Linked DNA regions of Ovis aries. The protein of the gene in region 1 interacts with the protein of each later gene in a pairwise test. Links are inferred from orthologs where the notes say so. Each region holds a gene or a part of one and is shown on either strand. Other genes may lie near its edges. The genes, in order: EEA1 and RAB5B.

The links.
Region 2: the proteins of EEA1 (region 1) and RAB5B interact in binary tests that used the Homo sapiens proteins (3 or more experiments, as listed by UniProt). The link is inferred for Ovis aries from reciprocal best matches to the Homo sapiens genes EEA1 and RAB5B.

Annotation. Positions count from the first base shown.
Region 1 is NC_056056.1:129,190,521-129,194,337, reverse strand, and holds part of EEA1 (early endosome antigen 1), read left to right. Parts: intron 1-37; coding exon 38-238; intron 239-1,529; coding exon 1,530-1,643; intron 1,644-3,817. UniProt on the Homo sapiens protein: Binds phospholipid vesicles containing phosphatidylinositol 3-phosphate and participates in endosomal trafficking.
Region 2 is NC_056056.1:163,549,870-163,554,116, reverse strand, and holds the start of RAB5B (ras-related protein Rab-5B), read left to right. Parts: upstream 1-1,157; 5' UTR 1,158-1,253; intron 1,254-1,353; exon of another isoform or gene 1,354-1,996; intron 1,997-2,501; exon of another isoform or gene 2,502-2,627; 5' UTR 2,628-2,686; intron 2,687-4,069; 5' UTR 4,070-4,189; intron 4,190-4,247. UniProt on the Homo sapiens protein: The small GTPases Rab are key regulators of intracellular membrane trafficking, from the formation of transport vesicles to their fusion with membranes.

The DNA.
Region 1 (3,817 bases):
TGTGACCTTCATAATTAGAGCCTTGCTTGTATGATAGGTAACTCAGCTAACAGAGAAGCTGAAGAATCAGTCAGAAAGCCATAAACAAGCCCAGGAGAATTTGCATGACCAGGTGCAGGAGCAGAAGGCACATCTTAGAGCTGCACAAGACCGTGTCCTTTCCCTAGAATCCAGCATCAGTGAATTAAATAGTCAGTTAAATGAAAGCAAGGAGAAGGTTTCCCAGCTTGATATACAGGTAATATTGCATTGTGCAACTTGTTTGTATGAATAAAACACCAGTTTTAAGCTATCATATTTAAATTGTTTTTCTCTCTGCCTCTCCATCCCCTGCCTTACTTATTAACTGGAGAAATAGAAATAGGAATTAAAGTTGCATGTGGACAGTTTGCTGAGCTTTCCTGTTTGCCTTTCTCCCTACCCGTTTTTCAGTTTTCTCTTTTTCCATGAGGCCCTCACTACTGTTTTTGAAGTTTAAAGTAGTTTGTTATTATACCATTAGATTTCTGTTACAGATGTTTGATTTTGAATTTGATTTTTAAATTTTACTTCAAATGTTTGATTTAATTAAAAAAAAAAAAACACACACTGAAAACTTTAAGGGATTCTCTGGTGATCCAGTGGTTAGGACTTGGCGCTTTCACTGTTGAGGCCCATATTCAGTCCCTAGTTGGGAAACTAAAATCCCTCAAGCTGCATGTGCAGCCAAAAAATATACAGTACAATTATGTATTTTAATATGTCTTCTTTCAGACGCCAATATGGAAGCCTTACGGAGTGAGTCAGTCACGGGGTGGGAATTAAGATATATTTCTTTCTCCATTCTCATTGTTTTTTTATTCTAGACTATAGTAGAGAAGGTTTTAGAAACATTTCTAAGCCTAAATTTTCTTTATTTTAGGAGAATAATTCCATTAAAACCAGAAATAATACAATAACAAGTATAAGAATTTGGAAAAAAGAGGATACACCTCTTTTTAAAACTTATTAGATGAGTTACAGATAATTCAATATGTGGATGTCCAATTTAAGAGAGAAAGTGTTTTGGTGTTCTATAGGGACGTTTTTTACACTGGAGAAGGCAATGGCAACCCACTCCAGTACTCTTGCCTGGAGAATCCTATGGATGGAGGAGCGTGGTAGGCTGCGGTGCATGGGGTTGCTAAGAGTTGGACACGACTGAGCGACTTCACTTTTCACTTTCTTGCATTGGAGAAGGAAATGGCAACCCACTCTAGTGTTCTTGCCTGGAGAATCCCAGGGACAGAGGAGCCTGTTGGGTGCGTCTATGGGGTCACACAGAGTCGGGCACGACTGATGAGACTTAGCAGCAGCAGAACATTATTAGGAGTATTCTCCCCTATTTATTCCTGTTTGGGGGATTATCACGTACTTATTTTTTAATGTCTAAATTTTTGTTTTCTGCTGAAATATTTAAACTTTAAAATTAATGAGAAAAGTATTTTACACTCATCAAGCGGAAACCAAGAACTAAATACAAATTAAATGAGTTGTAAATTTTGTTACAGGTTAAAGCCAAAACTGAATTATTGCTATCAGCAGAAGCAGCAAAAACTGCTCAAAGAGCAGATCTTCAGAATCATTTGGACACAGCCCAAAATGCATTACAAGATAAACAGCAGGTAGGAGAACTTGATGCAGTTTCCTGTCATAACCTAATGTTTTGGTAGATAAATTAACTGGAAAAATATGTGAAAATTATACTTTGATATAATATTGTGATTGACTTGCTTATTCTCCTTAATTTCTCCTTGAGTTTGGAACCAGTGAGTGGAATATGCAGGAGTTAGACAGATGGAGATAAAATATAATCTTTGGGAATTCCCTGGCAGTGAGTGGTTAAGACTTGGTGCTTTTGTTATGGTGGCCTGGGTTCAGTCCCTGCTTGGGGAACTCATAATCCTGCAAACTGTGAGGTGCAGCCAAAAAAAGAGAAGTATGTTATTTATGTTCTTGATAAAGTTCAACTTGTGCAGTTGTGGTTGAGCTTCTTAATACTGTCTTTCTCCCATAATAGAGACCTTGGTGTGATGAAATATTTACTCCTAATTTTTGAATTGTTTCTTCATCCTATTAAGTGGCAATGACTGGGAAAGAGAGACTTCACAGCTGTTTTAAGTGGACAGTCAGGCGGTGACCCAGGTATACTTGCCTCTTGGCAGGAAAAGAGCAGCATGTATTCCATTTCAATTATAAGAGTTACTACTCTTTTCCTGGGGGTAGGAGTAAAAGTGGGGCTAGGAAGAATACCAGAGTTACTCTTCTCAGCACTTCTGATAGGAAAAAGCTTCCTACTTCAGAATCCAAGGTTAAAATGCTGGTAGATTTTTCTTACCTTTGACCAGGTAGGAATTTTAAAAATTTACTTTTTACTTGAGAAGCAATACTGGTTGTTGATCCAAAAAGTTTTATTAATAATACAGTACTATATATCAAGTTAATAAAACCTTTCTCTATATTTACCTTTAACTGCAATCCATTTTTCTCCTTACATGGAAATTTTGCTTTTATGTTTGGTATATATCCTTCCAGACTTCTGTAAACATTGAAGAAAAAATATGTGTGTGTGTACACATACAGGTCTTTTTGTTTTATACAGATGGTATCACTATGTATGTTGTTCTACAACTAGGTTTTTACTTTACATTATTGCTAAACACATCTATAATGTATTTTCTAAGTACTAGGTCAGTGCCAGAAAGTATAATGGAAAAAGTATGTATAAGAGTAACCACATAAAAGTTGAAATTTTTATTTGCCCAAAATATTACGAGCAAAATTCTAAAGTAAGTAGCAAAATAATAGAGCATTTTCTGAAATATGTCTGATGAAAGATTGATATTTTTGTTTAAAACATTTTTACATAAGAAATAAATGAATCTACCAAAAGAAGTAAAAGATCAAAACTATATTAGGAAATCTTCATATTCATTAAGAATTAATTGCAAATTAAGACAGTAGTATACCCTTATTAAGGTAAAATGTTTGGGTGCACGTGTTTAACACTGGAAAGGCTAGAGATGGTATAGAAGAACAAGTCACTTCCACACGTTGCTTGCAGTTCAAGCTTTTGATGGTAATAGGGAAAGCTGGTAGGCAGTATATTTAAGACCTTTAAGCTTTTTCATATTCTTAATCTCACTTTTAGTCCTTTACCCTAGGGAAATAATCATAGTTTTAAGGATGGTGTTTGCATATTTGTTGGAAAGGTTTATAGCAATCCAAGAATACAGCCGAGGGTATTCGGCTAAATAATGATCTATATGAATACAATAGAAATTTATGCAGTCATGTATAATGATAGTTTGGAAGATAATGTCACAGTTTTATGATGCTTTGTTATAAAACAAAGGAAGTTACAGTAATACTGTATGTAAACTGATATCCTTATCTGAAAAATAGAAATAAAGAAATAGAACCTAACATACAGAAAAGTCTAGAAGGAAAGTTATCAAAACATTAATAGTATCTATGGGCAATGGATTTCCTAATAATCTTTATTTTTTTTGCTCTGCAATTAAATATTCCAAATCAATTGAACAAGTATTATAATGTAATCAATGTAATTAAAAATATTATAAAAAATGGTATCTTGAACATTGAAAATATTTACAGTATAAAAGCGTTACTTTGTTATTAGCCTGCTTAATATCCTGTTGTATCTTTTGGCTTCTAAAATAAGTCTTCCTAGAAAAAGTTGTTGAGCTATTATGTGTATAAACGTAGTATCTCAGAGTGTGTACAACTTCAGTTCAGGTGCTTTATGTTGATGGGTAAATGTAATCTCATATATATT
Region 2 (4,247 bases), about 34 Mb from region 1:
TTTTGTCCCTGAGTGTTCTTGCTGTTAATATTATTTGTAATTTAGTTTGTAACTGATTTAAAAAAAGTTCCTAGTTTTACAGTTCATCTCTTTCCGCTTTTGTGTATTTATTGAAAGAATGGTGTGAGAGAGAATATGGATGTGTGTATGTGATAATAGATTTAAGACCCCTCTTAATCTGTCTGAGCACGGCTTCCCACCTCACTCCATTTCGACCTCTGTGATGCAGTGGACAGTGTACGGGTGGGCGAAGCGGGAATTATTGCCCCCATTTTACGGCTGAGGAAAGTGAAGTTTATGCATTTCCTACTTCACTTTCCCCTAAACCTGCGCGTCTCACCACCCTACCCACCACCTATATCACACACACACACATACATACAAGGCTCCAGTTCGAGATTTGCAATGTTTGTTAGGGCTCAGGAGCAGCACTACGTTGGAAGTGAGCTCCAAGGGAATTCGCATTGACGCTGCGTTTCCCAATAAGTTTGCCTTTTTTTCTTTTCTTTTTGCATATTACAGAGTTTTTCAAATATATTTATTCATATTTACAAATGATTCTGAATGTATCAACCGTCTGTACGAAAATTATTGTAAAGGGGCTAAAGCCTCCCCAAACTACCAGTTCTTGGACCTGCCACTGTCTCAACTCACCAGAAAACATCTCAGACTGCCTGAGGGCCACCCCCGAAATTCCTGTGCTCTGAGGCCCCAACTAAAAGGAGGAAGCACCGACGTGAAGGCTGCTTAAATTCCCAAGCTCCGGGTCCTTAGGAGAGGTATTTCCCTTCACGCCCGCGAATTTGTCATCGAAGGCGGGGCGCTGGAGGTAGCCCCCACCAATCCCCGGGGGAGGGGCGAAGGTCAGTAGCGGCGTTCCTAAGGCCTCTTTCAACCCCGCCTTGCCTGCCATTCAAGTCCCGACTTTTCGCAGTACTGGTTGAAGTTTCACTTTGACCCGCCTCCACCGCTCACCTGATTAGATGTTTATAAATTAAAAGGCGGGGTCATGAGGGCATCGAGATTTTATTGGTTAAAGTATACGCCTATCAACGGGGTGCCGCCCGCTAGTTTGAGGAGCTCGCCCTTTAGTGGCTCCTCACCTCGTCCATCTTCAAGGTTTCCCTCACTGTATTGGTCTGGGGTCTCGCCTATCCAGTCCTTCGCTCGTACTCGTTGGTGACAGCGCCGAAAGAGTCCCGCCTTTCTCCAGAAGATTGGCGGATTAGCACGCAGAGAGCCCACCCTTGACGGTAGGCGGGTAGTCGTGCAATTGGCTGGGGCCCCGCCCCAGGGCGAGGAGGAGGAGGAGGGGCAGGAGGGTTTGGTTGAGCTGCAGCTGTTTGTCTGTTCGACACAGGCTTGGGCCCGACGGGGGAGACGGAGCCCCAGGTACCGGGCTGATGGAGCCCGCAAGGGCAGGGGCGGAGGCACCCCGGAGAGGAAAGCGGCCTGGCCTGAGGGCAGAGGAGGGTCTGGGCCTCCGCGAGGGGTTAGAATGGCCCACCGGAGAGGGGAGAAGGGGACCAGGCCCCGGCAGGCCTAATGGGGGCGCTGAGGAGGGGGCCGGGCGGGCTGGGAGCCTGAAGTTGGTGAGTCGGGGAGGCGGCCGGGAGGTTTTGGCGGCTGGGCTATGGGCCGGCGCAGGAGGCCCGGGGCTCCCGTGCGGGCAGGGGCAGGCCTCAGTGAGCGGCGCCGAAGAGGGAGGAGCTGGGGGAAAGGGACTGGGCGGCGGGTGAGGTAAGTCATTCGCCGGGAGGTGAGGAGGGGTCAAACCCGACGTCCAGGCCCCGAGGGGAACCGGGGCGGGACTCTCGAGAGCTCTCTTTGGAAGGGTGAGGGAAGGGCTCTTAACTGGGTAAGAGGCATTCTTTTCAAGCAAAGTGGCTATTATAAAAATAACTAGGGTGCCCCAGAGTTGAGCCGAGAGGGATTTGGACTCAGTGTGGGAGAACTGACACAAGCGAAGAAAGCTTTCCTGATCTAGAAGACTCAGGTAGCCGGACTGGTGGAAGCAGGGCCACGAATCAGTGATGGGAGCTTCTGGGAATGCTGAAGGGTGGGCTGGGGGCCTTGGGTTTTGCGAGTACTCGCGCTTTTGTTCCCATTGGTGTGGAGATGTGGCAAGTTGAAGTTTTCTGGTACTCTCAAGGTGGACAGTGAAGACAAACTGGTTTTTTTTCTGTGACTGTTGGCAGTTCCCAACTCAGCCCCTACTCTCTCCCTTGGCCTCAAGCTGGTTTAGGCTGCAGTCTCGGTGTTTCTTACCTCCTGTTTCATGTCCTGTGAAAAAGCTAAGAAGTAGGGTTTGGGGGATGTTTGTTCCTTTCTTTCCTGCTTAATAATATGGTCTATATTGGGGACCATATCTCTCACCTGAAAGTGGGGAATCAGTGATTCATTTTCTGCTCTAGAAATGCTTAGGTATCCCCAACCATCCAGAGATCTTCTGACTATAGTTGGTGAAACTTTTGTGGTACTTAGACTTGGGTATTTCCCAGGCAGGTAATGATTATGTGGAATCAAGCCTGGAAATATGAGGTGATATCACAGAGGAAGGGATTTGGGGAAGAGAGAAATTCCATTCCAGAAGGTTGGCATCACCCGTTCTTTGTCTACTTCTTCAGGAGCCGGGGTTTCTGAGCTATTAGAAAGCTGGGTCAAACAGAGGCACTCGGGGAAGGAGGTGAGTAGAGAAAAGGAAGATGGATTTCTAAGACCCAGAGGTCCCTTCCTCCCATATATTTTTAACAGTCTACTGACCTCCTTAGTTCCCCCCATAGATTGGAGCATATTGGATTTTCCCTTATTATACTTCCTCCTTTTTCCATTTTATAACACTGTATTTTATAACTACTTTCTTTTTAATTAGAAAAGTGGTATGTACATCTTAAAATATTCAGGTTTTATGGAAGTGTAAAAAGTGTAAAACCTCCCACATATACCCCACTCATTTCATCCAGAAAGGTCAGAGATAAGAGACAGCAGATCAAACTAATCTTACTTCACTTTGGGCAATGTGCCAGCAAAGGCAATTCTGTTTTCATGTTCCCACCATGCACTGGCTTCTCCTTTCCAGTTTTCCCTTCTGGGATGATACTCTGTTATTTATTGTGCTCCTTTTACAGTTCATTCTGTCTTGCTTTTATCAAATTCAGACAAGTAGAGAGCTGTACTCTGGGTTATCCCTTCACATTCTTAAACAGACACACACACCCGACTTGTGCACTAGGTATCCTAAGGAAATGCCCAAATAGATGGCCAAAATGTCTTTCTCTTTTATGGGCAGGAAAGAAAAGTTGAAGTGAATCATTTTGTTTGGGAAAATTATTGGCATCTTTGCTAAAGTGAGGAATTAGAGATTTCTGTCCTGTGGTTCATGGTCTCTGCATGTTCAAATTATATGACTCTCCCTTCATTATCCCCAAAGAAGATGGTGGTTCTTCTAAAGGGCCTCTGTGTCTATCTTTCTATAGTGATATGAGAAGCTTGCAAATTTTTCTGGCTTTGAAATTGGTTTTCCTCTAAACCTCAACACAGCTGGGACATTTTTTTACACCACCTTATTAATTGAATTTGTCCTTACTGGCTTTAGAAGCCCTGTGATGTGCCCAGCCTTTGTACAGTGCCCTTGGAAACCTTGATTGTTGTCCCTCCAAAAGCTTTTATTTTCTCTTCTGCAAAGTCAGTTCTAGGGAAATTGTGTAGATGTGTATGTTTTAAATCCTCACTAGGCTTTGCCATTTCCTGCATCCTGATGATATCCTGTCCCTTTTTTTTTTTTTGTCCCTTTCTTCTATACATCTCTTATCTTTTCTACCTTCCCCTTAATCAAAGCCTACTTTCAAGAAAAATGATCTAAAATTGCTCCACATTAGGTTGTAAATAACTAATAATCATTTAAAGTGTTAATCCTCCTGAGAGTTTTTGCTTTTTAAAGAGGGAGTTAAAGAATGAAAATTATCAGTATAGAATTTCAAACATAGATCTGGAGTTACAAAAATATATTTGGAGAAGAGGAGTTTCCCATTGCCCTTGAAGTCATACCTCATCCCTTCTTTTTGCCCAGGAGCAAGGATTGCTCTTTTACAGTTGCTTGTCTGTGCTCACTGATATGAATTTGACTTATGAGGGGACGTAGGTATGAGAAGCAAGTGCCTGCTCCCTAATCCTACGGCATTTCAGATTGGTAAGTAATAACCAAAGTGTGAGACAGTGCATTTAAATTAAGGAAATGCAACAGCCTG